3 linked regions of the Arabidopsis thaliana genome follow. The main gene of each other region encodes a partner of the protein of the gene in region 3 in a complex. Each region holds a gene or a part of one and is shown on either strand. Other genes may lie near its edges. A codon is read from its position in the direction of its gene.

Region 1 (11,183 bases), on a different chromosome or scaffold from region 3:
AAAAAAAAAATCAATATTTAGAATGAAATTATAAAAATAAAATATAATGTGAGGAATTTTGTTTTCTTTTGTAAAGATATATAATGTGTGTTTAATTTATCTTTTAAATTTTGAAGTAATTTAGGCAAATGATTAAATTTTATAATCATTTTACAATAGCATGTTATATAGTTAAATAAGTTTCTTGGAGCTGTCAAAAAAAAGAAAAGTTAAATAAGTTTCTTGGTATTTGAAGATATATAAGTAATAAACTTACTTTCGTATAAACATAACTTCGTGGTTGCATGTCAGTATATAAAGCCGGATTTACCTGAAATTTTAATAGATTTATGTTAATAATATTAAAACTAAGTGTAGTATATTTCTAAGTATTTATAATAAAACCAATTTATTATGATTTATATTTTTATACTTTTAGGCCGCAACTCTAATTAAACATAAAATGTTGAAACAAACTTACAGTCCATCCAGCTTGAATAAAATCGTCTCCAATCTGAACGTGCATACGAGAAGAACTAAATTGCGGAGATCTAACTTCAGGATCATGTACAGAAATAGCCATCGATACTCCACTATAGCTTTTCTTTTCTCCTCTCTTGGTTCGAGCAACTGCAAACTAGTCATCATAACCATGCATAATCAACTCTTATTTTGAATTTAATAGAATTCTATATATTGAGCAAAATAACAAAATTATATATTTTGTATCTTTTTATAAAGATGACTGCACGGAGATTTAAAAAGTTATATTTACATTTTTGAAATTAATTTGTTTCTAACAACAATAATTTAGAATTTTAAAGGTAATTAATTAAAACACACTTATATTTCTTACATAACTAAAACTTATACCATAAGAAAAAAATAGTTAAAACATCTTATAAAACATAAGGAAGGGTACTACTTACATGATGTTCGACATTATATTGATTATAAGTGAAGTTCCAAGAACCTTGGGGCTTAGATTTGTTGGAATACGAATTTAATCTCAAAAGTTTGTCTTTGGTGACTCTTTGTATGGGTATGGTACCAATGGGACACCCTACACCATTTTCCCACAAGAAACCAAATTTTTTGTCATTTATTTTTCTTGTTCTTGAATTTTTACGGGATGATATCTGATGCATCTACATTTACAAAGAATTTTGTATTAGTGATAAATAATGATCAGATTCACTTATATTCAATTTATTATATACTTTGTAGTTGAGCAAGTGATTTTTCATGGTCTGATCGTCAAACGCTGGTTGTTTGTAAAAATCCACACATTCATATGTATCTCCATGTGTAGTCTATCATCCATAAACAAAAAGTAGATTATAAAATATTTTGTAAACTTCACATATCTCTACAAAATTCAGATATATATATATATATATATATATGTATAAATCAAGGTAACGAGTGCAGCTCTAAGAAAATAAGATGAAATTAAACGGACTTTGATGATTTTAGCTGCATGTTCGTCGATGACTTTAAGTTGTTCTTCCATTTCAAATGAGGTGAAATTTTGCAATGTTTCTGCATCCACAAAATGATTATTGAAACTCGATATATCGCTGAAACATAGGATATAACCTAACAAGAAGAACAACTTTCCTGGAAAACTTAATTTCATATTCTCTAAGAAATAAGGTTGGAGTGGCAATCAAAGAGTAAAGAGAGATTTATATAATAATATCAAAATAAATGAGATAAAGAGAAATATAAATAACATTAATATTTTCTAGATACACATGATTTCTTTTTCATAAAATTTGAACTATATAATTAACTCATTTTTTTATTAAGTGTTATGGTACATGATTATTGTTATTACATGTATTGTGTATCTGTATAAAAATGTGTAAATCTAGATTACTAACTTATGAACTTAACTTGGTATAATTATTTTATTATATAAACTTTGGTTTTCAAAATTAGTAACTCACATGATTGCGACACGGGTAACTTTCTCGATTAGATATCAACAACTGTTTTATTTTTTTGTTTTCTTTTACAGAAAATAAAAACTAATTAAAAGAATATTTACATATACTAATTATTCTTACCCAAAAAAAACTAACAAAATGTTTTTTACATGTGTTATTGGTCAACAAGATTTGGACATGTATCAAAAAAATCTTATCCATTTAGCATGGATTTTAACCAATAAACAATGTGTTGAAGTTCAAAAAAAAAAAAAAACAGGTTATTTAAAATTAATTAAATTAAATAATTTTTTTGCTTATATTATACTTTTAGATATAAGACCTAATCAGTAAGAAAGCAATTTGATAATAAAAAGTTGGTTGTTTGAGAAAGATAAAAAAAGTTGGATGGATTAATTATCCCAGCTATAAAAAAAAATTGATTGGTTTAGGTAAGTTTTTCTAAAATAAATTTATATGTTACTTGTGATTGTCTTTCATAATCTATCTGAAATTTTCTTTATGACCAATCACAAAGTTGAAACTGAAATGATTTTAGGTAACATAACTTGTCAAAAACAGTTTAGTTCACAAGTGATCATCTCACATTGGAAACCATCTAATCCTTTCAAGATTTGCATTATTTGTAACAATCACAATGGTTAAGAACAAACGATAAAAGTAGAGATTGTATATATCGCCATGCCTCCAAATTCATATATGCAAATGTAAAAGGGAGTCCTAATAAGAACAATACAAGATGCCACAAAGCATCCAATTAACACTGCAAAGTTTTGAATCTAACAATGTGCTTATTGCAAATTGCTTATAGATTTCACCGCAAGCTAAACCCGAGATACAGTGATACTCAGGCTTAAACAAAAGGTCTATAAAGAGGACAGCAAACGAAGAATCAGTATCTTTATTTTTGCGAAAAGAGAGAAAATGTGAAAACCCAAGTTAAAGCTCTCACTTTTTCAAGAGCACGGCACTGCACTGCGCCATGATCTTTGATGCTCTTGTGATCGAGTTTGTCATGTAAAAGTTCTCAACCACGGTTTGGAACGGTGTTGTGCTCATTGCCTCCTTGCACTCAGGCTTCAATGAAGGCCCAAAAGCAGCTGGCTCTCGCTCATCTGTGTGGACTAGATTTGGTGCAACGCTCTTTATTCTTGATCTAACACCTTCGATTGAGTTGTATGGAAGCTTCACACCCGAGACCTCGGATAAGGCTCTCACAATCTTCCAGTCATCTCTTGCATCACCAACTGTTGGAACAGCTGGAACAGTCTGTTGGGTAAATCCTTCAGTATTTTCATAGGTTCCTTCTTTCTCAGTGAAGGCCGATGCAGGGAGAATTACGTTTGCACGGTAAACCGCTTTGTCTCCATGGTGTCCTTGGTAAACCACAAAGGCGTCTTTAGGAATCTTGTCAACATTTACATCGTCTGCTCCCATCAAGTAGACGAATTTTGCAGACTCGAGGGCTTTGGCGGACTGTTGAATGAGACCAAGATCAAGAGCAGCCGCTTGGGCAGCATACTGAAGGAGAAAGTTGAGACCGTTCCAGTCTGGTCGGACAACATTGTTGGCTTGTGCAATGGACTCCACAGAAGAGAGGATAGCATTTTTATCAGTTCTGTTGAAGAGCCCAGCACCAACAATGATTGCAGGGTTTTTGGCGTTCTTGAGAGCCGTACAGAATGGATGCCGTCCCTCAGCAATTTCCTTGAGAGTATCAGGCCCAGTCCCGAGGTGTTTGCAGTCGTAATTGAACTCTGCAGGTGGACCAACATATCCAACCTTGGCATTTGATGCACGGACTGTCTTGCAGATCCTAGCATTCACCATTGCAGCTTCCACCCTAGGCTGGTAAAAATAGACAAAAACTGGTGAATGTACTGCTAAAAAACCTTCACAACTTTGATATCTGGAAGAGCAAGTTTTGCTTGATCTAGATTGGTCTGGATCAGGAATATTCAATACAAGCGAAATGTTAACATCTGATCTGTTTTTTAGAAACTTAATTTTGCTTGTTTCTCCTTTCTATTTGCCTCTGTATTCCAAATTATGCACAGAACCTTAAGCCACACCACTAAATCAAAGTATCAAACTACACAATTTGGTTTTTCTTATGTCATTGTTCCAAATACAGAGCGGTCTGTCTAATCCGGTACCAGAAACCATACAAAAAAGACAGGGTGGAAATCTCACCTGGGTACCGATGAGAAGGAAGAGATCGGCGTTTTCAAGTCCACTGATGCTAGTGTTCATCAGATAACTGTATCTAAGATCAGCATCAACACCAGCAGCTGTTCCTTCACACCATACATTGTCTGAGCCCATTCTGTTAACGAAGTCCTTCAGTACCATCATGGATTCCGCATCAGATAGCTGACCTGCTACTCCAACAATCTCATCTGGCTTCACCTGATGAATGATATCACCCACAACAGCCAAGGCATCACGCCAGCTCACTGCCTTGAATCGTCCATCGGAATCTCGGATCATAGGGTCGCTCAGCCTTTGTCTTTTCAGGCCGTCATAACAGAATCGGGTTTTGTCAGATATCCATTCTTCGTTTATATCCTGAATAAGAACATTCACAAGTTCAACATCCAGCAAAATACTTTTAAAAATAGTGTTTTTGAACAAAAGCATTACATACCTCATTCAGGCGTGGAATGATACGCATTACTTCTGGTCCTCTACTATCAACACGGATGTTGGACCCAACAGCATCACTAACATCAATAGTTTCTGTTGCTTTCAACTCCCAGTTTCTGGCTTTAAAGGCAAAAGGCTTTGAGGTCAAGGCTCCAACAGGACAGATATCAATAACATTTCCAGAGAGTTCACTGGTCATAAGCTTTTCAACATAAGTTCCAATTTCCTCTCCACTACCACGACCTAGTATACCAAGATCCTGAACCCCAGCAACTTCAGAAGCAAATCGTACACACCTACAAAAACATTATACATACAAAACCTAATCAACAGGATAGCGTATCTATCACATTAACTAAAACATCACACTATAAGCAAACTATATTAGTAACCTTGTACACTGGATACACCGAGTCATAACAGTCTTCACAAGAGGACCAAGATTCTTATCAACAACAGATCTTTTCATCTCAGTAAAACGTCCTCTATCAGATCCAAAAGCCATAGACTGATCCTGAAGATCACACTCTCCTCCTTGGTCACAAATAGGACAATCCAAAGGGTGATTCATCAACAAAAACTCCATCACTCCCTCCCTCGCCTTCTTAGCTATCGGTGTATCAGTCTTAATCTTCATCCCTGTTACAAAAACTCTTAGCAATAGCACCAAATCCAAATATATTCCACCAATCAACGATCAAAATCAATCCATCAGCATAGAAATTTTCCTGGAATCGAACTAACCAGGAAGCGCAGGCATGGCACATGAAGCTACAGGCTTAGGAGATTTCTCAACCTCAACAAGACACATCCTGCAATTTCCAGCAATAGATAAACGAGAATGATAACAAAACCTCGGGATATCAACTCCAGCGACCTCACAAGCCTGAAGAACAGTGAATCCTTTAGGGACTTTGACCGCGTAACCATCGACAAAGACCTCGATCGCATCTTCAGGATTCGAGAAGTGGACGCGTGCTCCACCTACAGGGTTTCTAGGAGGGAGAATCTGTGTCGGCGGCTCAGGCTCAGAGACAGCAGCGGATTCAGGAGATTGGAGCTCTGGTTTTGAGACGATTGTGCGGAGGAAGAAATTGGAGGTTTGAGATTGAAGAAGACGTGAAGCTGGTCGAATTGTTCGAGAAGCTAAGATGCCTAAACCCATGGCGTTGTGGATCTGTATCGTCTTCTTCTTCTTCTTCGTCTTCTATGTGTGTATTTCTCGATCTTGTTGTGAGAACTCCTGAAGCATTTGTGCGAGAGAGAAGGAGACACGAATGAGTGAGTTTTGGGCTTTATGGGCTTTTATTTTGGATATTATAATTGGCTTATGAATGAGTGAGTTTTGGGCTTTGTGGGCTTTTTCTTTTCAAACTGAATTAAGTTAATTTTGGGAGATATAGTTTAAGAGTTTTGATGATCTTTCTCTAATTCACTTAATGACATTGAGTTTAAAACAATCTTGCTTCTAGTTCCATACAACATATTAGAACCTCTAGCAAAATAAACCTCTAATCAATCATTAGTCCTAGAGACTTTTAGGTCAATGTACTAATTGAACATTTGTATATTTCAGATAAAGACAACTTAAAATATGGTTATAAATGATGACAATTTTAAACATCTCAACGTCGTCTATTTAAATAAAAGGAAAGAAAATATTGTCAACACCTATGCTGCATCGGTTAAGGTTTACGTGTAAGAGTTAGTTTATTTTCCTCGTTTGTTTAGGTTTACGTGTAAGCATCATTATCAGTGATATTGTTATTAATCTAACCTTTGCAATGACAACCAAAAAAAAAAAAAAATGAAGTTTCATAAGCTTTGATATATATTATCTTATCATTACAGGCAGACATGATAAGTATAATTTAACTCGTTTAATTTGATAGTTTTAGTTATAAATTTACATAGTAATTCGTTATAATTTTAATTATGGGTTTGAATGGTTACGGCGGTTCGGGCGGACAAAACCATCAACGGATCAGACTGTTTTTTATTTACCATTAATCAATTATAGTGCACAGTGGTCCGGACAAAAAAAAAAGAAGAAAACCGCAACAGATCATCTGTGAATCATCCACGAACTATTTTTACATATAAATAAACTTGGTCCACAGCGGTTTATTGTCCGCCTCAAAATAAGGTAGATTAAACCGCATACAAAGTATACCGCTTTGTCCACTGCATCCATTCAAAACTTATAAAGTTATAAGTTATAGCTAATAAATATGACACTTTTTCAAATTGTTATAGATCACTTTAAGAGTGATTACATTCCTCTCTTGTTTTTTTTTGTCAAACAGAGTGATTACATTCCTTTCTTTTTTTTTGTCAAACAGGGTGATTACATTCCTTCTTTTTTTTTTTTTGTCAAAACAGAGTGATTACATTCCAAGGCAAAGAAACATAAGGGAGAACCACTAACTACAATAAAAATTGTTGGGTTAATGGCAAAAGAAAAAAAAGAATTAGTGGTTCTTCTATGAAAAAGAATTGCATCCAATGGAAAGAGGATGTGACCGAGTTGATAAGATATGAAACACAACATATATAGCTTTTTGTTATCAAACTATTTATCGTCTCGTATTTGTTCTAATCTAAACCGAAATACTAATATTTTAAGGAAATACTTTGCGAAAAATAAATAAAAATTCTCACCTTTATTCAATCAAAGCCAAAAATGAAAAAAAAAAATAGAAGCAAGACAATCATATTCATACAACTCGATAAGGTAGTACCTCTAAAGTGCAAAACGAAAACAAGAAATATCTCTGCTATCTCATTCTCGTCAACTAGGAAACTCTGCATAATCTCTCTTTTACACAATGCAAAGAATAAGGTGAAGATGAACTGATTATCTCTAGCGTACTATGAAAGTCAATATTTAGATGCAAATTAGGTGATTTTTATTGTCGATATTCTTCTTTTTCTGGACACGTCCTCATATTCGTGTATATTTAATTTCTTCTCTTGGTTTTATACAAAGCCGACCATTTGGAAAATTTAAAACTAAAAATCTCAAAACCTGATGTAAATTTTGATTTTACTTTAAACAGAAATCCTACGTTAAACATATAGGAAATGCTGTTACACACCCATTAATGTCTATAACTAGTACATCAATTTACAACAGATTTATTGTCTTAAAAAAAAATAACTCCCCCACTTACCCCGTGAATGTTCAAGTACACTAGTCCAGATTAACTTAAATTCGATTATGCTAGAAATGATTCACAAAAACCGGTTTAGGGAATCATCATCCAGATTTGGAGCATCGTAATCTTTTGGTAAATTTTTATTAGCCGTTCGTACAATTCAATTCCAAATTTTAATTTAGATGAGATTTTTTATATTAAAAAAACAATGATATATGTTCGACAATCGACATGTTCTGATGTCCTATATAAATTCGGTCCTTCTAGACAAAACCTTACGTTATACACTTCAACTAATAAAGAGTCCAAACCAAACAAAAAAAAAACAGTAGTTTCTCGACAGAAACAAAATCAATATAGCTTTAACATCACGAGAAAGAAGAACTAAAGAAGACCAAACAAAAAATAATTTGGAAAAAAACAGAGAAGCAGCTCTCGTGATCTTCCCGCCTTTTCTCTTCAACTTGTAAAACATTACAAGATCTATCTTCTACCAAAAAGACGAAGTTTCGAGTGTCAGATTCAAGAGTTGAATCGGGTATTAAACTCTGTTTTTCTAGATCTTTGTGTCGAAGAGATCGCCGGAGATTTCATTTAACCGATTCTTGAAAACATGGGACGTCTCCGGAGACGGCAAGAGATAATAGATCATGAAGAAGAGGAATCAAACGACGACGTTTCATCAAGAAGAGGAAAACTCAGTTTAGCCGAGACGTTTCGGTGGCTTGATTCATCAGAGCATCGGAGAATTGAAACCGATGGTCATAATGATTATAAATACATCATTCATCCCAAAAACAGGTTCTTTCTTTTTTCTCTTTCTTCATCATGCACTTGAAGAGTTTCCTTTCTATCGGGAGATAAATACGTAGAAAATACTTTTCTTGAAACCTTCAAAATATCTTCTGTTTTTTTTTCTGTAACTTCAGAAAAAAACTTTATTCACCATACCACTTCAAAAACTTGTCTCCCTAGTTTTAACTTCGAATAATACAATAATAGAAAATTCACCATTTTAATAATTATCAATCACTAAAACTCTTATCGTTATTTCTTTCTGCTCATTTTTAAGGCTGTGTCACCAATCTAATCTAATATTAGTATCACTTCAATCTAGTTTAAATATTAATATTTATGTCAAGGATTTTTTAAAACAACTAAATGATTTAAGGTTCGAAAAATTACGATAATTAGAATGGACAAATCCGTTTACAGTTTGGATTGCTTTTTATTTACCGTTCATAAAGTATAATTTATAGTAATACAAAATAATAAAAATAGAATCCGTCTACAATGGACTAACGATATATCTTTTTTACGTAAAAGTGAATTTGGTCTACAGAATTTATTGTTCGCTCTAAAAATAAAATGGTCTAATCGCTTAATTCGTATCATCCATTAATAGCCTTAGGATTTAGATGAATAATCTTCATCACTTATCAAAAGTAGATATTAGATGCTAATCAGGTGATTTTGTTGTCGATATTCTTTTCATTATTATTTACTAAGAAAAAAGAAATTGGTGGGACACTTCCTTGTGATATATTTCTTCTCTTTCGTTGTCCACTGATCACCTCAATCTAAGCATTTGTTTTATTTGCAGCCGACCTATTGAAAATTTAAAACTTAAATCTAAAACCAAATTCCGACCAAAACAAGGAAAAACTTTAAATCTATCTTTAAATAGAATCCTACGTTAAATTGCACCAGGAATAAAAAAAAAAATACTACGTTAAACAACTTGAATCCACTAGAGGATACTGTTACACTCCCATAAATGTTTCACTAGGGTTATATTAGTAATTATGCGTTGTGACAGAATCATCGAAGATCGGATTATTAATTGGTTCCACTAAAGCTGCCGTAACCAGAGGCCACACGTGGATATTTCATCCACCTGTTCTTCTAAGCATAATAACATTAACTATAAAATAACAAAACTATACTAGTGAAAATGTATATTCAACTTAGTCCAGCTATGTCGATCTTAAACAAATAAAATTTAAAACGTTGTTGCTTGCACTTAACTAATAACTATAGTATTATTTTCATTTGTCTCCTTCCCACGATTCCGTTTAGCTACATTACCAATTTGACGAATCAAGTATAAGCCACAATCTTTACATTTTCAAGAATCTTTGATTAGACCTGAATTAATGAAAAGTGAGAAGAAATTGATCAGGTGGTACAAGGCATGGGAAATGTTTATATTGGTGTGGGCAATATACTCCTCATTGTTCACTCCCATGGAGTTTGGTTTCTTCCGCGGTCTGCCTGAGAGACTCTTTGTACTTGACATTGTTGGTCAGATCGCGTTCTTGGTCGATATTGTTCTTCAGTTCTTTGTTGCCTATCGCGATACTCAGACCTACCGGACTGTCTACAAACCAACACGTATTGCTTTCCGGTCAGTTATATATATTAGACTCTTACAATCATTTTAACCATTTCTACTTATATAGCCTTTAATGGAGGAAGTATGTCTTTCATCAGGTACTTGAAGTCGCATTTTCTCATGGATTTCATCGGTTGCTTCCCTTGGGATCTTATTTATAAGGTACTTAACTTTGCTTTTGATATTTGCTTAGATCTTCAACAAAAGTCAAACCAAAGAAACACTATAGCTTATAAATATTTCTTGGTTTATAAAAACTCAAACCAAATAAACACTATTTGTAATTTGTTTGGTTCGTTTCTAGGTGATGCAACTTTAGTTCCTACTTGATGCAATTTTAGCTTAGTTAGGTTGGAAATTTTGTAAAAGTAACTTTGAAACATATAAAAATATTTCTTAACTAATATTATATTTATCTAATATGATAACACATATTATAATTTCTTATATAATTAAAATAAAATTCACATAAATATCAATTCATTTGGTTAGTTTACACTAAAATCAGTTTCACTTCGATTTCGATGTTTAAATAATAAACCAATTGGGTTATTTAAATACATTTTTGGTTCTGATTCGGTTTGGTTTGGTTTATACTCCTACCCTAACCTTTTTGTAGGCATCAGGGAAACATGAGTTGGTGAGGTACTTGTTGTGGATAAGGCTATTTCGGGTTCGCAAAGTGGTTGAGTTTTTCCAAAGGCTTGAGAAAGACACAAGAATCAACTATCTATTCACTAGAATCTTAAAGCTCTTGTTCGTTGAAGTTTATTGTACTCACACTGCTGCTTGTATCTTCTATTACTTGGCCACCACTCTTCCTCCAGAAAACGAAGGTTACACTTGGATCGGTAGCTTGAAGCTAGGAGACTATAGCTACGAGAATTTCCGAGAAATCGATCTCTGGAAACGTTATACTACCGCTCTATACTTCGCCATTGTCACTATGGCAACTGTCGGTATAAAAACCAATTCTATTTTGATGCTAATTTAATTAGTTACTAACAAAGAGATTGATGGGTTTTTTTTTTTTCGTTTTGGTTTTAGGTTATG
Region 2 (9,932 bases), on a different chromosome or scaffold from region 3:
CGATGATGATTAATCAATGTCTTTGTGGGGAGGCAACGAGGATATGAACATTGAGGTGCAGCACAACTGTCCATGTGTTTCCAGAGCTTTTGAACCGTAACACAATTTCGATCAGGACACTTCCCTTCAGGCGCTTTGCAGTGGCGAGCATGGCGTAGAAAGAGGAGCCATTTCTGTTGATTTTTGAATCTCGGATCCCGGTTGCCATTTCCATTTCTACAAGTGGTAGCAGTAGGATTTTGGGGATTAAGGGATTCTGATGTAGTCGAGACACGATTTTGACCTATAATTGAGCCTCCAGACATATTATTGGGCTGAGCTTCATCCGTTCCAGACATTCTTTGTCGGAAATCCTCCTGAATGTGCCGTTCGTTCGACATACTATTAGACATTTGAGTATGTTCCTGTGACTGAGATTGCCAGTGACCACGCATCCCAGATTCTGTTTTCACTCCAACAGAGAGGTTGCTAAAACCGTTGACAGAGTCTGAAGCCATACTATGCGGGTGCAACATCTGCTGTATCTGTTGGCTATTTTGAGGAACTGATGTGCACATATCACTCTGACTTGTGACAGGGAGAATCTGAGAACCTGCATGACGGTCTTCTGCATTGTTCTGGTATTGATTCTGAAACTGAGAAAGCTGAAATTGCTCAGGAGTTTGGGAGTGGATAGACTCGCTAGGGTTCTCCATTCCAGGTTCATGTTTAACGTGAGTAACCATATCAGAAGCCACATTATTTTGCCCAAAAGCATCGTGACTTATAAATCTCTGTTGCTGCTGGCTTTGCTGCTTCAATTGCTGTTGATGAAGAAACTGCTGCTGCTGTTGGTGAAATTGATTAGGTTGTTGCTGAAACCGATTAGGCTGTTGCTGAAACTGCTGCTGTTGATGTGACTGCAAAAAAGGTACGAAAGATGATTACAAATCGGTATTCTCAGATTGATGTTTCACTGGTGCACTTTGCTGCATGCAAAGTGAATTCCATGGATTGCTTACCAAAGAAGAGCTAGTTCTAGACACAGCCTGGAAACTTGCTGTATTGGCATTCTGAGTATTTGTCATCATCCCAACAGATGTTACAGCACCATACAAATTTCCCGATCCGAATGGGTCAGAGTTGTTTGTGCCATATCCATCACCTGAAACGGTAAAATAACATAACAATTAAAATATTCTGATGAATACGCACAACAACAAGAGGTTAGAAACTACAATTTAGGGATGGGAAATAAAGACTTTACCCTGCATTCCTGAACGCTGAAGATTATCATAAGCCTGCTGTGAATTTCTGATAGGATTGGTGTAGGATGTACCTGAATCTACGCTTTTTGCATTCATTCCAACACCACCATTTATGGAGCTGTTAGACACATTAGACAATTTTTGTTGCATTCCAGGTCTAAGGCCAACACCCATTTGACTTCCATGGTTTTGCAGCATACGACTATTTTGGCCACCAATATCCTGCCTCAGTTGCTGTTGCTGAGTCTGAGGTACCATCATGGGAGCAGTAGAAAATCCACCACTATTGTTGGAAGCTTCAACACTCAAGTAAGACTGGCCATTATTGCTGTTGTTATTAGTACTACTGTTGACAAATCCAGGGGTAGGCATCATCTGGCCGGTATTTCTCTGGGAGCTCATGGATGACATGTTCCCTCCAGACCCAAGACCAAAGTTACTCGATGAATGTTGGTATCCATTAGACAGGTTACCTGCAAAGAGAAGTAAAGGTGTTCAGAAAAAATATGCGCAGAAAATTTTATGCCCATATTTTATATAAGTTGTAGTGAAAGAACCTCCAAGCATGCCACCAGAATTTAGCAGGTTTCCAGTGTTCATAGCACTAGTTGTGATGTTATTACTTCCAGCCATTGTAGCATCACCTGAGGAAGTAATCATCAAATTTGGATTCCCACCACTGTGTTGTAATCCTGGAGTGGGTATCATTGTTCCAACCGAAGAAGAATTAGCGTGTCGCTGATTGTAGTTATTTAACTGCCTGCCTTTGATTAGACTTGCCAGCCGAGGTTCAAGGGTTGACGGGTTCACGTAATCTTCCTGCGATTCAAAATGGAAGTGTAGCACGTTAACAAGAAATTTCAAGTTAGGACATTAGCCAACAAGCTGGATCTAGTGGCAAAATTTTAAATGCCAAATACGTGCCTATCCTTTCCTTAAGTATATTAAATAAATACCTTTGTGTTAGCAATTTTAAACAGCCCCTCCTCTAAGCGTCTAGCAACATCCATATATTTAGCCTTTGATGCTTCATCAGCTGGAGATGGTTGCTTTTGCTGTAAGATATTGAAACTGAAAAGAAAGAAGAGAAATACACGGATTTGATTGGCGATAAACTGGAGATATTGAATCCAATCCAAAATAAATAGCCGTATAACAAGAGCAAGGAAATATAACTGCAAAATGGTGGGAAGACACCAAAGTCAAAAGCTTGAGAAAAGCAAAGGCTTACATCCTGATTCGCATAGCCTGCCGAAGTTTCAAGATGTCATTGTCAACGGGAGAAACGCGTGAAGGTCCTAAACCAGCACCAGTAGCAGGAGCTGAACCACCACCAACTAAATTCTGCATTTGGGAGTTCCCATTTTGCTGGGACATAGTCCCTTGGTTTGAAACCTGCCCCGACATGTGAGCCTGAACATTCATAGCTACCTCTTCAGTCTCCGTCGCCTTGTCCTAGTTCTTCTGGTAATTAACAGTAACAAACACTGCATAACTTTCCTCTCCTCCAGAAGTCACAGTATCCAAATTTCATCTCCTGATTTAGCACCTTAGAGAATGTCCTGCTAAAAAAACTTGGTGTAATCAGAGAACTGAAATTGTCACAATTTGATCTCATATTAATTGGGAGATAGTATCAATCATAGTATCAACTAAAGAAGTAATTAAACCCCAAAATAGTTACCAAAAATGAACAAAATGATAAACCCTAAAAATTCACCCCCAATCTTTGAATTGATACAAAAAGGAGTAAAATTTGGCAACAAAGTGGAGAAATTTGACGGAGACCAACCGGTTGCTACAGATTGTACGATGATTGGAGTCTGCACAATGAAACAAAGCCGGTGAACAGCCGATGCGGCACGTGTGAACTCAAACCAAAAGCGAGGTCAGAAATTAGGATCAAGCAGTAGACAAATCCCAGAAAGAAGATGGCAAATCAAAAGCGAATGAATTCAGGTTTTCCCAAATCGGGGGATGTTCTGGGCTTGTAGGTTCGTCGAATTTGGGATTTTTCTTTGGACTCGCTCGATTTGGGGATTTTGTTTTTTTTTTTCTTTCCTTTCTAGGGATTCGTTGTTTTTCTAAAATAGTAACTCAACAAAAAATACACATTAAAATATTAATTTTGCTGTCTGAATACGATAATTGGCGCAACCAAAAGGCAAATAAATGAAAAAATCGACAAGCATTATGTTTAGATCGGACAGATTAGGATAAACTATAAGCATATGATCCTGTCCGTCCGCCGTAAAAAAAAAAAAGACATGATCTTGTCCGTCCGATCAAATATTTCTTAATGTACAGATATACCCTTGTAGCTTAAGACTTATCTGTTTTCAGTCTTTGACCAAATTAAATGCTCTTTCTCCGAACCGAAAACACCTAATAACCGGAACTCATGAACCGAAAATCAAAGTCAGGTTGGTTACAAACAATTCAATTACACAGCACAAAATCTGGATTACAAAAGAGTTTTCACACGCATATGATCTCGTCTTTATTTTCAAACAGAAGCAACGAAAATGTTTCCCCGGGAAAAACAAGTTGAATGAAGCAGAGACTGTTGTAGAATGGTTCAGCGGTAGAGACTCTCCGACCTCAGATTCTCAGCAATCTCTGTCTCCCATCGATCTCCATTCTCAAGAAGCTTCTCTTTGTCATAGAGAAGTTCCTATCATAGAGAATATAACAAAAATTTCAATAAGCATGCCTCGAAAATTATTAGGGTCTAGAAAATGTGAAAAACAGACCTCGTGTGTCTCGGTTGCGAATTCAAAGTTAGGTCCTTCAACGATTGCATCAACGGGGCAAGCTTCTTGGCAGAAACCACAGTAGATGCATTTTGTCATGTCGATATCGTACCTGTACGATACAGCTCAAATCATCATGAAAGGGTAATAAAGAAAGCAGATGGTTGATAAATGAGAACTAAAGGGATGATGACCTAGTGGTTCTGCGGCTTCCATCTTCCCTCTCTTCTGCCTCTATTGTGATTGCTTGAGCTGGACATACCTGATGAAAAGGACAAGTATCCCTCACAAGAATTACAATCCGTGGTGAACTTTTATACACACTAAATAGATCATTGTCAGCTAATATGACCATTTCATCAGAACTCTAGAGACTAAACAGTAAATATTACTCATACTCAAATAGCTTTCCTAATTACTAAGATGAATTTGATAGACTCAGAGTACCATATCAGAACAAAGAGAACGTTAAATTAAATGAAGGATTCATATCGATCTCAAAACTCACAGCTTCACAGAGTTTGCAGGCAATGCAGCGTTCTTCCCCGGTAGGATATCTTCGAAGAGCATGTTCACCACGGAAGCGAGGGCTCAGAGGACCCTTCTCAAATGGATAATTGATCTGCATACACGAAAGAGCTTCAGTAACACAGATTTCTTTCAATCTAAGTTTGGAAGACTAGAAAAGATATCACTCACAGTAACTTTTGGATCAAAGAAGTACTTGAGGGTCAGCGACAAACCGCGGACCATTTCTGTGAGGAACAGGGTGTTTATGCTCCGTTCAAAGACTACAAATTTGAGAATATCAGGAATCACTAATACTCGGGGAGGAAAACACCAAGGAAGATAGACGTACAAGAAAAGAAGAAAGGAGAAAAAAAGTAAAATTGTCTAGATCATATGGATTACCAGTATTCCAGTCCTTGGAGATTTCCTTAGAAAGTTGCTCTGCTTCTTCATCATCTGAATATTACATACGCAAACCATAAGTCATATATGAATCAGAATCTCGTAATACAAGTTGGAAAAGGGGTAGATTCACAATTAAACCTGATTTACCAAAGAAAACCAAACAAGAGCAGAAAATATACCTTTGTTGCTGCCATAAGATATACCACGGGACTGCAGTCTAGACAGATGAGATCCCTGTAAAGCTTGCCCTGACAAAACCTATCAATGTCGAGAAGTAATCAGAGAGGTATTCAGAACATACACACCATATCAAGCTAATGAAAGGATTAAAGCTCGCAAAAAAAAACAAAAAAAAATTGACTTGCGAAAAGGCTTTCGTCACAAAAATTAAATGCGAAAAAGAATAAGGAAACCATAAGTAAAACGAAAGCCCTTAAGATGAACCATGATCAAATTCAAATCTCCCTACATGATTTCATCGATCAGCTAGATAAAATCCAGAATCTCGTCGACACAAAACAAAACACAGAGAGTGAATAGAATCATCTTAAGCTCCCAAAACTCCAGGAGACATTCCCATTTCTAGGCATTCAAATAACTCTAACTAAAGGACACAAAATGAAGAAATAACAAGAGCGAACAAGATTCATACGAGATGTCGAGCACGGAGAGTATTCAGTGACCTGCGAGCCAAAATCGAAGCCATTGATGGAGCACCCAAATTCCGATTTAGGTTCCTTCCTTCTTCACTGCGATTGATGAGCAAACCTGAACTTCCGATTAAAATCAATAAAGAGCCCTAAAATCCTATTTTGTCCTTTGAGTTGAAGATATTATTACAATTTGGTCCCTGGTACAATAGTTTTTGGTTTTCCAAACCGCCGATAGAACCGGATTTTGAATTAAACAGATTCTTTCCTTAACCGAAAATAAACAGAAATACACACAATAACCAGTTAGTTACAAAGTGCTAAAACTTATTTAGCTGAGAATCGTTATTGCATACACCATTGGTGATGGAAAATTCTTTACAAAGCAAGATTGTGAAAATATCTCAATCGAAGTTGGTAGACCGGTGATTTGGAGCAATGTAATAAGAGTTTCCACAATTAATGTGAGATTGCATCAACGGATTCCATCTATCGAAAATAATTCGGCCACCACGCCCAATCCTCCCCTGAAACCGACTTGGAGGTTGACCTGGTGATGAATCCGGTGTTGGAGGAACAATCCCTGCAGCTGCCAGTTTATCGGGAACCAGCGGTTTTGTGAATAGCATTACCGGTTCATTAGGATCCTAAGGAACAAAATCATTACAGGTTTGCTTAAATGATTGATTATAGTAGCTAGAGAGAGCTTAGGTGTTGTAAGAGAAGGTTTTACCAGTCTGTGAAGCCATCCATGCTGTGACTGTCGTCTTCTAACTTCTTGTTTGATGCCTCCGGGATGAGATGCATTCAGATTTAAGTTGGTGAAACGAGAACTAGGAATAACCGCAGGTCTTGTACGTACACGAGTACTGGTGTGATCATCAGAGTCCATCAGTTCATCATCGCTTGAGCCAAATTTGTATGATGTTGTAGTGGGTTGAAATCCAGGCATAGCCAAGCTATCTTCCAAGAGCTCTGTTTCATGCTGCAAAAAAAAAAACAATTTTAGACCCGGAAAACGGAAAACAGAGAGTTTTAGAGGAAGTAGAAGTAAGTACCCTGTATTGGAGTTGGATTCTCTGAAGGCTAACCTCACTGTCCATGACATCCCTCTTCTTCTCTTCTCTCTACGGAATGGGTAACATCAAATTAGCAACTTTGGAGAATGCAATCCGCTTGTTAAGATAAACACTAAAACTGTCATATAGAACACCTTAATGAGAGCCTCCAGAATGCTCTGTGCTTGGCCTAGATTGCGTCTAACCTGATAATAACATATCCCATGTATTCAGAATCCAATAGAAAACCATAAAAGAATCACTAACAGATCATTAACAAGCAGAAAAAACAATGTTGTCCAGAGAGAAACTAAAAGAAGGCACTGTAAACGTAAATTGCTCAGATTTCAGGAAATTAAAGAACCATAAAGGTTCAGGTGCCTCACTCACCTGTCGAAGCTTTTCAAATGACTGCACATTGTTTTCTCTCCTCTGCATCTGAAGATGAAGTAAAGCCTTATCACTATTTTTCTTTCTCCAGTTGGATTTTAATAGAAAAAATGTCGCACATGCATAAAAAAGACAGCCTACCCTTCTTGTGTGGAGTCTGTGAACTTTCTCCCTTGGCCTAAACACATTATAGGGATTGGTGTCATTAACCGGTGGGGGAGGCTGTTCCAAACAATGAAGCAAAACATTAACTAAATAATCGAGGTAAGATGCCTTTCCAACATAGGCCTTGATCGTTTCAAATGGAAATAAATAATACAAACCTGTAAACGCCGTAAGATAGGCTTCTGCCATCTTTTACGCTAAGTTCACATAAAAAACAGAAAACGAAACATATGCATAAGTATTATCAGCCAAAGGTACTCCATATGTGGAACTGCTTTGTCATTCACAAGAACTATGCATAGGTTTCACGAATCAAATAATCTATTAAACCGTCTTATCTCACCCCGTAAAATAAGATCATTAACCTATGCAACATAACGTCTGTATCCAGAAAACTTGTAACAATCACATAAGTTTTATTTCAAACCTTTTCTTTCCAGTAGTTGAAGATCGCCTGGAAGGTTCCATAATTAATGGACAGTACTTGCAGCACCTGCAATAAGAATCAGAACTAATCATTCAAATGTTTTGTACTGCTTCTAAAATGAGTGTAGAGTTATAATAACAAGAGATATATAATCCAAAAGTAAAGGTATACATCAGAAGCAGCATCAAACTGCAAAAGCACAGGAACTGGAGAGCCGAGAGTAGGTGTAATAACTCCTGCTCTTTCCCGCGTCTTGTGATCCAACACCTCTAGTTTAAAAATGATGATCTCAAGCCTGTATCAAACAATTTAACACATTTGTGTTGTGCATCAAATGGAACGATTCTTCTTTCGGTATCTATTTCACTAAGAGTTTTGGTTTTAACAATTTTAGCAGAATCCAATTTCTAGTGAATAAAGCAAACTAATTCAGCAACAGTACAAAACTAAAAGACGCAGAGAGTCTGAATAACCCAATCCGCCTCAACGTTTAAAATATCAGCATGATGCAGCTACAAGATAACAGAAAAATACTGATGATGATGATAAATCCGAAGAAGAAGAGCTATAAGGATAGTTGGATTGGTTACTTTACTTTTCAGGTGGAAGTTCTTTCTTATCCTTATCAAACTCATAAAGCCAGTCTTCATCCTCATTGTCAAGATCATACTCCACAAATTCTCCAAGCTCAGACCGAGCTGCATAAACAAACAGACAAACTTATAGTCTGCACATAACAAAGAAACCACCTTCATTGCCAATGAATACAAAACCAAATCAGAGGAAATTGGTACCTCCTCTTGCACGTAGATAAGAAGCAGGCTGACCAAAAGTCGGAGAATAATCCCTTTCATATGTATCCACAATAACAAATTGAGGTGTTGGTATTTCTGAAGCCGGTTTCTTACTTGGCACTGGAGCCACCTGATAGTAACAATGGTTAAAATGGTCGAATGTTTCGAAGTTAGAACAAAATGGAAATTCACCTCATTGTCAACTTCTACGGAAGCAATACGCAGCAACTGAGAATTTCTAGTGGTAGAAGTTGGAGTCTCATCATCTTCAAAGTCTTTAAAGGATTTTAAAATGGGAAGCTTCTTATGAATGTCTAATGGCCGTGGCCGGAAAGAGAGCCTACTCATATTACCTTCTTCCTCACTATTCTACTTACAAGTGTGCCTATAAATACAGATGATAGATATCTATATATATATATATATATATGTATGTTGCTCCAATAAGACAGGACGAAGCTTAATCTGTAATACTCAAATAGCTCAGAGTGCCAAAACTCGAAAAAAAAAGGTTTACACGAAGAGAAAACAAAACAGAGACAACGAAATTAATCGAACACGAATTTTAGGGTTAGGGTTTTTGTTTTTGAATCTGAATGGAACGAGAAAAAGAAAAATCAAATTAAATACCCAAAATTTCCAAACCTATATCCCTCTTCGTCGTCAATTTCCCAGATTCTAGGGGTTTTTTTTCCTCTGCCGGGAAAAATTGCGGCGGCTACCCAAAAAGGAAACTCTTCCGTGATTAACCCAGAAGGTCAAAATCGAAGCTTTGAAGGAAATTAAAAAAAAAAAATATTGGAGGTCGACGTGTTTGATTCGTCAGCAACATACAGAGGAGGGAAAACTTTAGTAAATTTGGGTTCGATTTCTCAATTTTTATTTTCTCATGTTTAAAAGGGACAGAATTATTAAAAATTCAAACTTTATAAATTTAGTAACCATTAACATTTCTTTTTTAAGCTTCTTCTTATCAAATGAACCACCTTTAAATCTACACATTGATTCAGAAAAAGAAAAAAGAAAAACAGCTTCTTTAGTTTACCACAATGAAAAATCCAAAGATTCTTTTTTTTTTCTTTTGGAAGAACAATCGACAGATACTATTTACAGAGAAAGACTCCCCTAAAAAAATTATGATCTTCAAGGCTTTGGATTCACCGTGGTGAGCTATATGAAAATTTTGTTTATGGTTTCGATCAAATTTGAATCAAGTGGAAGTTCTTCGCCACTGTTTCTTGCTTTTCATCTGGCCCAACTTGAAAGGGCTCCAGCTTTTTCTACGTTTTGAGGTTTCGCAGAAGAGACCTGAAGCAAGAGCTTGTTGAAGCCATAGCTCAAACTCTTCTTCGTCCTCATCCATCATCTCCACATCTAGATCCCATGGGAACCTACTTGAGTTTGATCTCTGTGTTGTCTTTTCTAACCCAACCATGTTCACATGAAAGCTTGGTCTATGCGTGTTTGGTCTACAAGCCATTCCCTATTTAATCCAATCAAAACATGTTAATGTATCTCAAGTCATCTTCGCAT
Region 3 (9,622 bases):
AACGTTGTTTTCAAATTTAGAAACATTGCAATGTTTCTTTTGAATACTGTGTGATCTAAGAAATTGTACCTTTATGATTAGAAGTGATTTTCTCTTACTTACAGTCTCTGGTGCTAAAGGTTTTGATGTTTTGTTTGCAGCCAATTTATGGGTTTTCAGTGTCAAAAGTGATAGATTCTGGGCATCCAGATTACAAAAAGGGAGACTTACTTTGGGGATTAGTTGGATGGGGGGAGTACAGTCTTATCACTCCAGATTTTTCACATTACAAGATCCAACACACCGATGTTCCCTTATCCTACTACACTGGACTTCTCGGTATGTTATCTCTGCTTCTCTTTTGTTCATGTATGTAATTCACTTGATAGTGAGAAAGCTGGCTATATACAATGCTTGATGTACCTCTCTCTATGATTATTGGCATGATAGAATGGTCTTAGAAGCTCCTAATCATGTAGAATAGTTGTTTTGGTTGCTAACATATCTAATAACTTGGTCAAAACTCTACAAGTTTCAGTAGTTTACTGGTAGTCTTAGAAGCATCGCTCTGTTTCTGACAGGTATGCCCGGTATGACTGCCTATGCTGGATTTTATGAAATATGTTCTCCTAAGAAAGGAGAAACCGTATTCGTGTCAGCTGCGTCTGGTGCAGTTGGTCAGCTCGTGGGACAATTTGCAAAGATTATGGGCTGCTATGTTGTTGGAAGTGCAGGCAGTAATGAAAAGGTAACCAGAATTTTCTTGGACTCTAGCTATTGATCCATTTCCTTATCAAGAGATTCACTTGTCCCCTTTTTTCTTTCTCCGTTGAGTTTTGTTATAGGTTGATCTTCTCAAGAACAAATTCGGGTTTGATGATGCATTCAATTACAAAGCAGAGCCAGACCTTAATGCTGCCCTGAAGAGGTCAGTATACTTTGAGAATGTAGGAGACAAAATGTGATATAGAGATCTGATTCAAAACTATGATATCTTTCTTCTCACAAGGTGTTTCCCGGAAGGAATCGACATATACTTTGAGAATGTAGGAGGCAAAATGCTAGACGCAGTGCTCCTAAACATGAAACTACACGGCCGTATCGCAGTATGTGGTATGATCTCACAGTACAACCTTGAGGACCAAGAAGGTGTACACAACCTAGCAAACGTGATCTACAAGCGGATTCGGATTAAAGGGTTCGTGGTCTCTGATTACTTCGACAAACACTTGAAGTTCCTGGATTTTGTGCTTCCGTATATAAGAGAAGGGAAGATAACGTATGTTGAGGATGTAGTTGAAGGACTTGAGAACGGACCTTCAGCTTTGCTTGGACTATTCCATGGTAAGAACGTCGGCAAACAACTCATAGCGGTTGCTCGTGAATGAATCAGACGTCTTTAGTTGGAGAATGAGTTACAAGAATTTGTTTAGTTGTGTCGGAAGTTTATTCTTACAACTTGAAAATAAAGCCTCTTTTCATAGGCGTAACTACAATTGCATTTTTGGTTGTTTATTTTGATTCTTTCATTGGTCTATTCTACAATTTTGTACCTATAGTAAATAATATAAACTCACAATTTTTATACGGATATTCTGAGGGATGTTTTTTTTTTTGAAAAACAAGTTCAAAATATTTCATTATTTTCGATCAGAATCAAAAATATTTTCAAAAATGTTCGTTTTTTTTTGCATTTTCCAAGAAATTAAAAAATCGAAGAATATGTGCTTCAAATAAGTGGGCTTATATGTACTAAAGCCCAAATAAATGCGTTGTTTGGTACAGCTTCACGAACAATCTCTCTCTCGATAGATTCTTCTTACCTCTGAATTTCTCGTTGTTGGAACAATGGCGTCGAATCTCCTGAAAGCCCTAATCCGATCTCAGATTCTTCCATCTTCCAGGAGGAATTTCAGTGTGGCGACCACACAGCTTGGCATTCCAACAGACGATCTAGTCGGCAATCACACCGCCAAATGGATGCAGGTAATCTTCGCGATCATGAGTCCTTAGTTTTCTAGCTCTTTCGCATCCCAAATAAATATGTACGAGGACTTGTATCGTGAATTTAATCTGGGAATTACACTAATTTACTCGGGAATTAGTCTCGACGATCTCCCCTAGGGTTAGATCGTGATTTGGCATGTTTACGATTTACTGATTCGGTTTCGTAGTCGATTCATTCTGCTGAAATTGTGTTCCTGTCATATGAACTGGAATTTGGAAATCACAGGGAATTGTTCATTTCTGAAAACTCTTGCTAGTCAGTCTTGATAACTGAAGATATTTGTTTCGATGTTGAATCAGTGGTCTTGATATCTGTTCGAAACTGCTTAGAACTTGTTTTGGATTTTTGAGGACATTAGGTTTACTATTACATGGGAAATTTGTGGTTGACGAAAGAAAACTATCTGACCTAAAATCTGTTCGTTGGGAAACTTAGGCTTCCATTCATGTGGCCATGTTTTTACATGTCTTTGACTATCATCCAGTGCAAAACAATAATTAAAGCCAAAGGGCTTGAGAGCAGAAGAGGAGTAGAAGAAAATATTCTCATTCTTTTCTCATGAGTTGTGCTATCTATATTGCTCATTTTAAGGGTATAACCATTACCTTCATAGCTATGGTCTTGGAGTTAGTTCCTTTCGCTGATGAATTTTGGGCGGTAGAAAATGACGTATGTTAGTTTACTGTTAACTTTTATATTTGTTAGTCAAATCAATAAGTTGGGTTGAGCTTTCTCCTTTATGTTGTCACTACCCTTTGACCAGATCAGCTTACCCTTTTTATCAGTGCTTGAGAAAATTGTGATGAAGAGCTGATTCATCACATACTATTCCTAGTTTAAGATGGCAGCTCTGCTTTCATTGAAAACTAGTGATGTAATCTAGTGAATTTTTTTTGTTTGCTGAGACTTTCAAACCTGTATATATAACATAAATTGCATAGGCTCTATACCAGTCCTTTCTGGTAAATTATGAAGTTTCTGTATCACATTTTGTTTTCTTTTGCCACATTCCTACAGGATAGAAGCAAGAAATCACCTATGGAACTGATTAGTGAGGTTCCACCTATCAAAGTTGATGGAAGGATTGTTGCTTGTGAAGGAGGTCTGTCTCCTCTTCTCCTCAGTCGCTCAAGATATTTGGTTTAGTGATCATATAAATGGGCACAACAGAAATTGATATATAAATTGACTTTTGTCTTACTTGCAGACACCAATCCGGCCCTAGGTCATCCAATCGAGTTCATATGCCTCGACCTAAATGAGCCTGCGATCTGCAAGTACTGCGGCCTTCGTTATGTTCAAGATCATCACCATTGAGGCAAATTCTGAAAGTGAACTGCTGGTCTCTCTCCCCTTTTTATTGCATTTTTAAGTTTGTGTATTGTTTTTTTCTGGTGTGCCTACTACATCTTCAGCTATATTATCTAATAAAGGATTCGATCAAAGTCGGGTAAGTTTGATTTTTGTTTGATCTCACTTCAGCACTTGTCATGTTGTAACATTCAATCTCTGATATCACTGTCTTTTACATGCCATTGAGCTCAAAAAACAGCAATGGCCTTTTTCTGCTACCAAGATCATATGAAAGTTAAATTTTAAACAAATACAATTTATTGAGTTTTTCCCTCTTGAAAATTCGTTAATAAGATAATCTTCTTCAGTTTTTTATAGTGTGGTTATAATTTGATTGCGGAAGTGAGCAAATTCACATAATTCTCGAAAATATTTGAAAGCGTAAGAACTAGACAAATAGTGAGCCCAACAAATATTTACTATGCTTACAGGGCCTATAAAGCCCACTAATAGGCTTTTGAAATCGAATTGCACGTGAGGCGCATGTGCCATTTAAAATTGAAGACGCGAATAGATAAAATATCCTACTCGCACCTGTAGCGCGTTAACGCCACGGAGCCCAAACGGCTGGACTAGTACAGGGATTTCGTCGTTTTTCAGCAAAATAAAAATAATAGGCGCGTGGAGATATTTCTTTTTGTTTTAAACTCATCGCCTGAATCATTTACCGTCAAACAAAGCGAGGTGAAGAAGATAACTATTTCTTTGAAGAAGATAACTGGGTGATGTGAGCACAATCTGATTTGAGTTACTGATTTAACTTTTACAACGTCATTTCCATCTCGAATCCAAATTTGATCAAAGTTTGAGTAACTGAGATATTTTTGAATTTTGAGTATGTATATTTTTCTTTTGTATCTTGTAACCAAAGTATTATTATTATCGCTACAATCTTCAACGAAATATTTAGATATATTTCTCAGATTTATTTAAAGTAGTTTAGTTTGAGCTCCGTCAGACAATTAATTTAAAGCAATAAGACAAGTACAAAACCTCTCCTTAACCAAAAAAGGAGAAACAATAGGAATCAAAATCTCTACTTAAACCTCCAAACCAACATCAGAGATTTTTGTGCCCCTTGGCAAAAGTGTGAACATGATACCATTTGACTCACTTTTGGTATATAAACTCATCATTTTGAATCGACTCCAGCCAATTTCCTTCTCTGTTGATGCTCTGCAACTTTGTAATCAACAACCTCTCTGAAAAGCATAGAGTCCAACACACAGTCCTCACTTCCATACACAGCTGCTTGAACACTTGCCATCAGTTTCGCAATTTCTCTACCTGAAAACCCTTCGGTTTTTGCAGCCGCTTCCTTTAAGAGCTCCTCCGTGACACCCTTTATCTCGATCTTCTGCTGTTCTTTCTTGAAGAGGCGGTCGAACAAACCCGGCTTGCTTGGACCAGCCTCAGCTATGTACTTTTCTAGATAGAGGTTTAAAAGCTTGAACCGCTCTTCTTCTCCAGGTAAGGGGAATTCGAGAACTTCATCGACACGGTCAGCCACAGCTGAGTCTAAGTCACCAGGTCGGTTTGTAGCTAGTGCTAAGACTATGTCTTTGGATTGATCACCCGTGCGGAAGAGAAGAGCATTTAGAGCACTCCTTTGGGCTTCACTCATGTATGTTTTGTTCCTCCTGTTAAATTTCGATGAACACATCAAAACCATAAACAAAGTGTTGAAATGATCAGCCTGTGATTATGATATGAGTATTAGCACTTACTCGCACAAAAATGCATCGGCTTCATCAATGAAGAGCAATAAACCTCTCTTAGACTTTTTGCCCCAATCAAACAGTTCGTGAATCTTTGTAACAGCCTGAGCTCCAAGGGGAGCAACATCTCCACCAGTCATCAGTGCATAATCCAAACCCTACACGAAGTACGGAAGTTAGGAAAGTAAGAATAGATAGGAACAAAACTCCGAGAATCTCATGAGCAACCTAAATCTAAGAGCTCAAGTTCAACTTTCAAATGTAATCATGGAAATCAGCAACCACCATCTTCTGCTCTACCGTCCTAATTCTGTCTGCTAGAGACTCCATGGTCTATTTGGGTGTCTTATAACAATTTTTGTAATAACTTTTTTATATATATGGAAAGAATACATACAGATTTACGAGCCAGCTCTCTGGCCGCCATTGTTTTTCCTGTTCCTGGAGGACCGTGGAGAAGAATATTTCGGAAAGGAGCCTGGTGGAGTTTTGTGTTGGCGGTTGAGGTAGCTAGGTGCTCAATTCTCTTTGCTAGCGGAGGATGCAAAATAACATCACCGAACCTTTTTCCATTTTTGGAAGCTGACTCCTTACCCCGCAATGTGGACATTACACGAGAAAGCGAACCAGACCAAGGGTACTTGCCTCTTGATGATTCTCGGATTAACGATGGTTGTCCTAATATTCTGTCCACATAGCTCCAGATAACCTTTGCACCTTCTCTGCAACAAGCATTCAGCAACCGGCTAAGTCTATATTTCACTACTGTAGAAAAAATGACTGACAGGTAATAGAATCAAGAAATGTAAAACGAGAAATTTGCTAGTCAATGGCGTAAACACTTCCTCAACCCTTCAACAAGAACTCACGATTATGGCAAAAAATATTGTCAACATTCGGACTACATCTCTAGTCTTTACCTCGTTGTGTAGATTCCAGCTGCCAGAGCAGTTACACCCCCAACAGCGACAATCAGTTTATTTTGATCCGTCAGAATAGCACGTAAACCGCCTAGGAAACAAGAATAAAGTGTCAAACACCTGTTAAAACAATTAGTATTTTCATTTATTTATGCAACGTAAAGATTATGAGGTCACACATCTATTCTAATTACTAATTCTTGATACCCGAACATTCACCACACAGGGATTTACAATGTTTAGTTAAAACCTGCCAAAAAATGACTGAAGCCAACAAGAATATAACAACAGTGAGACTATGTATGGATATAAATCTCACACCTCCAATATGGTCGAATGTTGTGTTTATGGCAGCAACCCATTTCTCTCTTTCTGCATTTGCACGATCAACAAGCATTCTCCTGTTTACATCTTCAGCAAGCCTAGCTTCATGGGCTCTTCCTTCCGCTTCTGCTATAGCTTTGACCCTGATGGTCTCACGTTCAATCTCAGCCTTCTCCCTCTCAGTTTGGCGTCTCTGCGCCTGGATCTGTTCCTCAGTAGCTCGTCGAGCTTGTTCCTGCCTAATTGCTGAATCTTCTTGCATTTTCACAAGTTCTTGATTTCTTGTTCTATGGAACTCATTCTCGGCCTGTAAAACGATATACACATCACACAACAAAAGCTGTTAGAGAGAAGAAACGAAGCTAACAGTGTTGAAAAATTGTTTTGAGGATTTACATGCCTGCATCCTCTTTCTTGCCAAGTCATCTTCATAACGGGCCATCTGCGATTTTGTCTGTGCTTGGTGCTGAGCAAGCTTTTTCTGTTCATCATATATTACCTTATGCCTCTCCTGTAAAATGGAACATGTCAGGCACACAACTTTGTTGCCAAGAAGCAGCTAAACCGAGTAATAATATTAATCAATATGTATCATAGTGACCATTGGAAGCAGATTTTGTCACAAGACACTATTTTCAACTTTACTAAGATAACAGCATAATCGTTATGCCACAGTTGCTAACTCATTTCTATTAGGTAGCCATTAGTTGTTAACACAATTGTTCAAGAATATATAAACAGACATCCAAATATTGGTTAAGAAACTTAAAGTTAGATGATCTCACAGTTTCAGCTTGGGCTTGCATAGCTTTAAACTCTTGCGCCTTCGTTGCAAACTCAGTTTGCTTTGTCTCTTCTTGCTGCTTAATACTTTCAAAAACCTACCAGAACCAAATACACAACAACTGTGAGCTTAACCACGATTGATAAACAAACAGAAATAGAACAATTCTGAGATCCAACACAGATGCTACCATTTTCAATCACTTTTAGGTTCATCATACAAATTATAACCTAATTGAAACATTCTTCTGTAGCCTTTCCTAAACCTAAGCATGATTCGATTTCACAAAATTTCTAACTATAGAAAGAGAGAAAAAGGTTCAAGACCTTTTTCGCGTAAGAGGAATGGTTAATCTCTTTCAAGGCTTTAGCACCTCGCTCCAGTGCCTCCGGATCGAAACCACCGGAACTTGTCCTCGGATTATCATTGCGAGCTCGCGGAGGAGCTGAAGATTCTTCACCAGCCAACGACGGTGGAGGAGGAGAAGCCTGCTGCTGAGGATTCGCAGAAGTAGAGAACCCAGAGAGATTGAAGGGACCATCTGCAGAAGCGACTTTAGATTTCGCAAGAGAAGCCGAAGCTGCTAGGGCTGAAATCAAACCAATCGCACATTTCTGAGCCATTATTCCTGGGAAACGAGACTTAGGGTTCTTCGAGATTCGAGAATACTGTAAGAAAATGTGATTTATGTAGAAGAAATTGGCTTGGAGAAGAAGAAATTCGAAGTCGGAATATCTGTTGCCATTAGAAATCTCAAAGTCGACGAGAAGGTTCTCAAGGTTTAGGTAGGGTTTCGGCGGGACAAGTGTTGGATCGGTTTCTGGATAACTTGACCCGATAACCCGACCCGTTTTGTTTCCTTTTCCTTAAAAGGTTTATGAAAGCAAATAAATTAAAACTTAACAAAACTTTGGCACTTGAATTTGAACTGAATAAATAATTAACAGTAGTAGCATAAATAATTCCATCAACAGATAAAAGATTACAAAATTTAAAAAGACAAATAAAAAATGTCCTTTCCCAACCAAATAAAAAAACAAAAAATAAAAGACAATGAGAGAAGTTCTTTGACTTGCTCTATATTTTGGCTCAACTATACTTGTGTGTTTCTTGGCCAATCTCTGTCTCCATCTTTAGAAAGGACTAAAGAAAGAGAATTTTTGAGAAACCAAACCTATGAATCATGGGAAAGTGAAAGATCCTCCGATTTGAGTGGAACCAGCAGGTGGATTAATGGCAACCCAAAGCAGAGATATGGTGATGGCAACAAGTCCAGACCAGACATATACAATGGTCGGAGTCCTTCCTCTTCTTCCCATAAGCCCTTTAGCGAATGGATAAAGATGAGCCAGTACCCAGAAACTGAAGAACACTCCTCCAATCAACTTACTCCACTGCGGAATCACACTGTATATCGTCCTGCTAAACCCGACCGCGATGGCGATTAGGTTCACCATCATGATTGTGATTGGTGGGATCATGAGGGATGTCCATTTCACAATGTAGAGATCCGCAAATTCGTCGTCTACATCCTCTCCTCCGGATTTAGATGTCAATGTGAATGAGATTTCGATTCCGGCAACAACTTTGAGCAGCCCTTGGATAACCGCGGCTAAGTGAGCGCTTGTTCCTCCAATGAGCCAGAACTGCTCGTTTCGCCACCATTCCTCGAGTGAGATTCCTGACCATTTGATCTCGAGGAGAGCGAGTAAGCAGAGCGTAATGGAGATGATTAAGAGGTAGACAAGGAATGTGACATTGAGTGTTTGGACTATGAACTGGCCTGAGAATAGGGAGAGAGCTGGGAGGAAGCAGTAGACTATGAGGAAGAATGATGTGAACGGGTAGATTCCAACGTTTAGGTAAGCGATTCTCTGGAGGATTTTCATTCTCGGGCTAGCAAAGAAGGCATTGTTTCTTGAGAAGAAGATCTCTACCGAGCCAGTAGCCCATCGGAGAACCTGGTGAAGCCTATCCGTCAAGTTGATTGGAGCTGTGCCACGGAAAGCATCCCTTTTGGTCACACAGTAAACCGATTTCCAGCCTCGGTTATGCATTCTATAACCTGTGACCACATCTTCCGTGACAGATCCATAAATCCAACCGATCCGAGATCCCCACTCGGTTTTATCCTCGTACCAACAAGAGATGACGGCTATGGCTTCTGCCACAGTTGATGCATCAAGAAGCTCGCGAGGAATGGTGAGAGCTCCGGGTGGTCGTCCGTTTTGCACAGCTGGGTGATCCGCAAGAGGACGACCTTGGAACTCGGCAACCGGGATTGAATCGATAAGGAAAGTGGAGTTTCCGAATTTCTTCGGAACCAAAGAAAGATTCATCTCTTCATCATCATCTGAGTCACCACCCATTCTCAAAGATCGGTTTTCTTCTGGCACACGGCTTTTCTTCTTCTTGCGAGAGAAGCAGCAACTGCAGAATCCGGGATGGTGTTCTTTAGCCCGAGGTGGATCGAATCCGTACAACGCGATTCTTCTAAAGAGACAACCCGTTCCGACATAAACAGGACCCATCAACC

The links.
Region 1: the proteins of AT3G03070 (region 3) and EMB1467 are in contact, whole or in part, in a cryo-EM structure (PDB 8BED), measured with the Arabidopsis thaliana proteins. Residues at the interface, in NP_566191.1 of Arabidopsis thaliana: Ile69 (codon at 3,071), Ala71 (codon at 3,077), Pro83 (codon at 3,218), Ile84 (codon at 3,221), Glu85 (codon at 3,224), Phe86 (codon at 3,227), Ile87 (codon at 3,230), Cys88 (codon at 3,233), Asp90 (codon at 3,239), Leu91 (codon at 3,242), Lys98 (codon at 3,263), Tyr99 (codon at 3,266); in NP_568550.1 of Arabidopsis thaliana: Pro167 (codon at 5,139), Leu168 (codon at 5,136), Asp169 (codon at 5,133), Cys170 (codon at 5,130), Pro171 (codon at 5,127), Ile172 (codon at 5,124), Met198 (codon at 5,046), Lys199 (codon at 5,043), Arg200 (codon at 5,040), Ser201 (codon at 5,037), Val202 (codon at 5,034), Val203 (codon at 5,031), Asp204 (codon at 5,028), Val214 (codon at 4,998).
Region 2: the proteins of AT3G03070 (region 3) and AT1G79010 are in contact, whole or in part, in a cryo-EM structure (PDB 8BED), measured with the Arabidopsis thaliana proteins. Residues at the interface, in NP_566191.1 of Arabidopsis thaliana: Gly38 (codon at 1,939), Asn39 (codon at 1,942), His40 (codon at 1,945), Lys43 (codon at 1,954), Pro53 (codon at 3,023), Met54 (codon at 3,026), Ile57 (codon at 3,035); in NP_178022.1 of Arabidopsis thaliana: Glu143 (codon at 4,229), Glu144 (codon at 4,226), Arg145 (codon at 4,223), Glu146 (codon at 4,220), Asp147 (codon at 4,217).

What each region holds. Positions count from the first base shown.
Region 1 is NC_003076.8:14,892,049-14,903,231, reverse strand, and holds EMB1467 (NADH-ubiquinone dehydrogenase), read right to left. Parts: upstream 5,823-11,183; 5' UTR 5,743-5,822; coding exon 5,322-5,742; intron 5,217-5,321; coding exon 4,970-5,216; intron 4,874-4,969; coding exon 4,579-4,873; intron 4,500-4,578; coding exon 4,125-4,499; intron 3,780-4,124; coding exon 2,884-3,779; coding exon of another isoform or gene 2,880-2,883; exon of another isoform or gene 2,798-2,879; coding exon 2,785-2,797; 3' UTR 2,585-2,784; downstream 1-2,584. Other genes in the region: AT5G37520 (NEP-interacting protein, putative (DUF239)), read right to left, coding at 461-562; GORK (gated outwardly-rectifying K+ channel), read left to right, coding at 8,349-8,536, 9,918-10,142, 10,229-10,292, 10,750-11,089, 11,178-11,183.
Region 2 is NC_003070.9:29,721,313-29,731,244, forward strand, and holds AT1G79010 (Alpha-helical ferredoxin), read right to left. Parts: upstream 5,717-9,932; 5' UTR 5,622-5,716; coding exon 5,568-5,621; intron 5,174-5,567; coding exon 5,095-5,173; intron 4,967-5,094; coding exon 4,913-4,966; intron 4,792-4,912; coding exon 4,700-4,791; intron 4,623-4,699; coding exon 4,509-4,622; intron 4,263-4,508; coding exon 4,195-4,262; intron 4,113-4,194; coding exon 4,001-4,112; intron 3,922-4,000; coding exon 3,826-3,921; 3' UTR 3,484-3,825; downstream 1-3,483. Other genes in the region: HAC1 (histone acetyltransferase of the CBP family 1), read right to left, coding at 1-899, 1,002-1,144, 1,247-1,720, 1,805-2,066, 2,204-2,318, 2,479-2,672; AT1G79020 (Enhancer of polycomb-like transcription factor protein), read right to left, coding at 5,970-6,212, 6,299-6,550, 6,624-6,692, 6,779-6,829, 7,014-7,061, 7,155-7,235, 7,337-7,375, 7,606-7,671 and 4 more; AT1G79030 (Chaperone DnaJ-domain superfamily protein), read right to left, coding at 9,610-9,882. UniProt on the Arabidopsis thaliana protein: Core subunit of the mitochondrial membrane respiratory chain NADH dehydrogenase (Complex I) that is believed to belong to the minimal assembly required for catalysis. Complex I functions in the transfer of electrons from NADH to the respiratory chain.
Region 3 is NC_003074.8:690,275-699,896, reverse strand, and holds AT3G03070 (NADH-ubiquinone oxidoreductase-like protein), read left to right. Parts: upstream 1-1,732; 5' UTR 1,733-1,827; coding exon 1,828-1,965; intron 1,966-3,004; coding exon 3,005-3,089; intron 3,090-3,194; coding exon 3,195-3,304; 3' UTR 3,305-3,655; downstream 3,656-9,622. Other genes in the region: AT3G03080 (Zinc-binding dehydrogenase family protein), read left to right, coding at 141-318, 561-727, 825-907, 989-1,367; AT3G03060 (P-loop containing nucleoside triphosphate hydrolases superfamily protein), read right to left, coding at 4,473-4,980, 5,068-5,216, 5,456-5,780, 5,979-6,069, 6,300-6,609, 6,703-6,813, 7,088-7,183, 7,413-7,709; CSLD3 (cellulose synthase-like D3), read right to left, coding at 8,268-9,622. UniProt on the Arabidopsis thaliana protein: Accessory subunit of the mitochondrial membrane respiratory chain NADH dehydrogenase (Complex I), that is believed not to be involved in catalysis. Complex I functions in the transfer of electrons from NADH to the respiratory chain.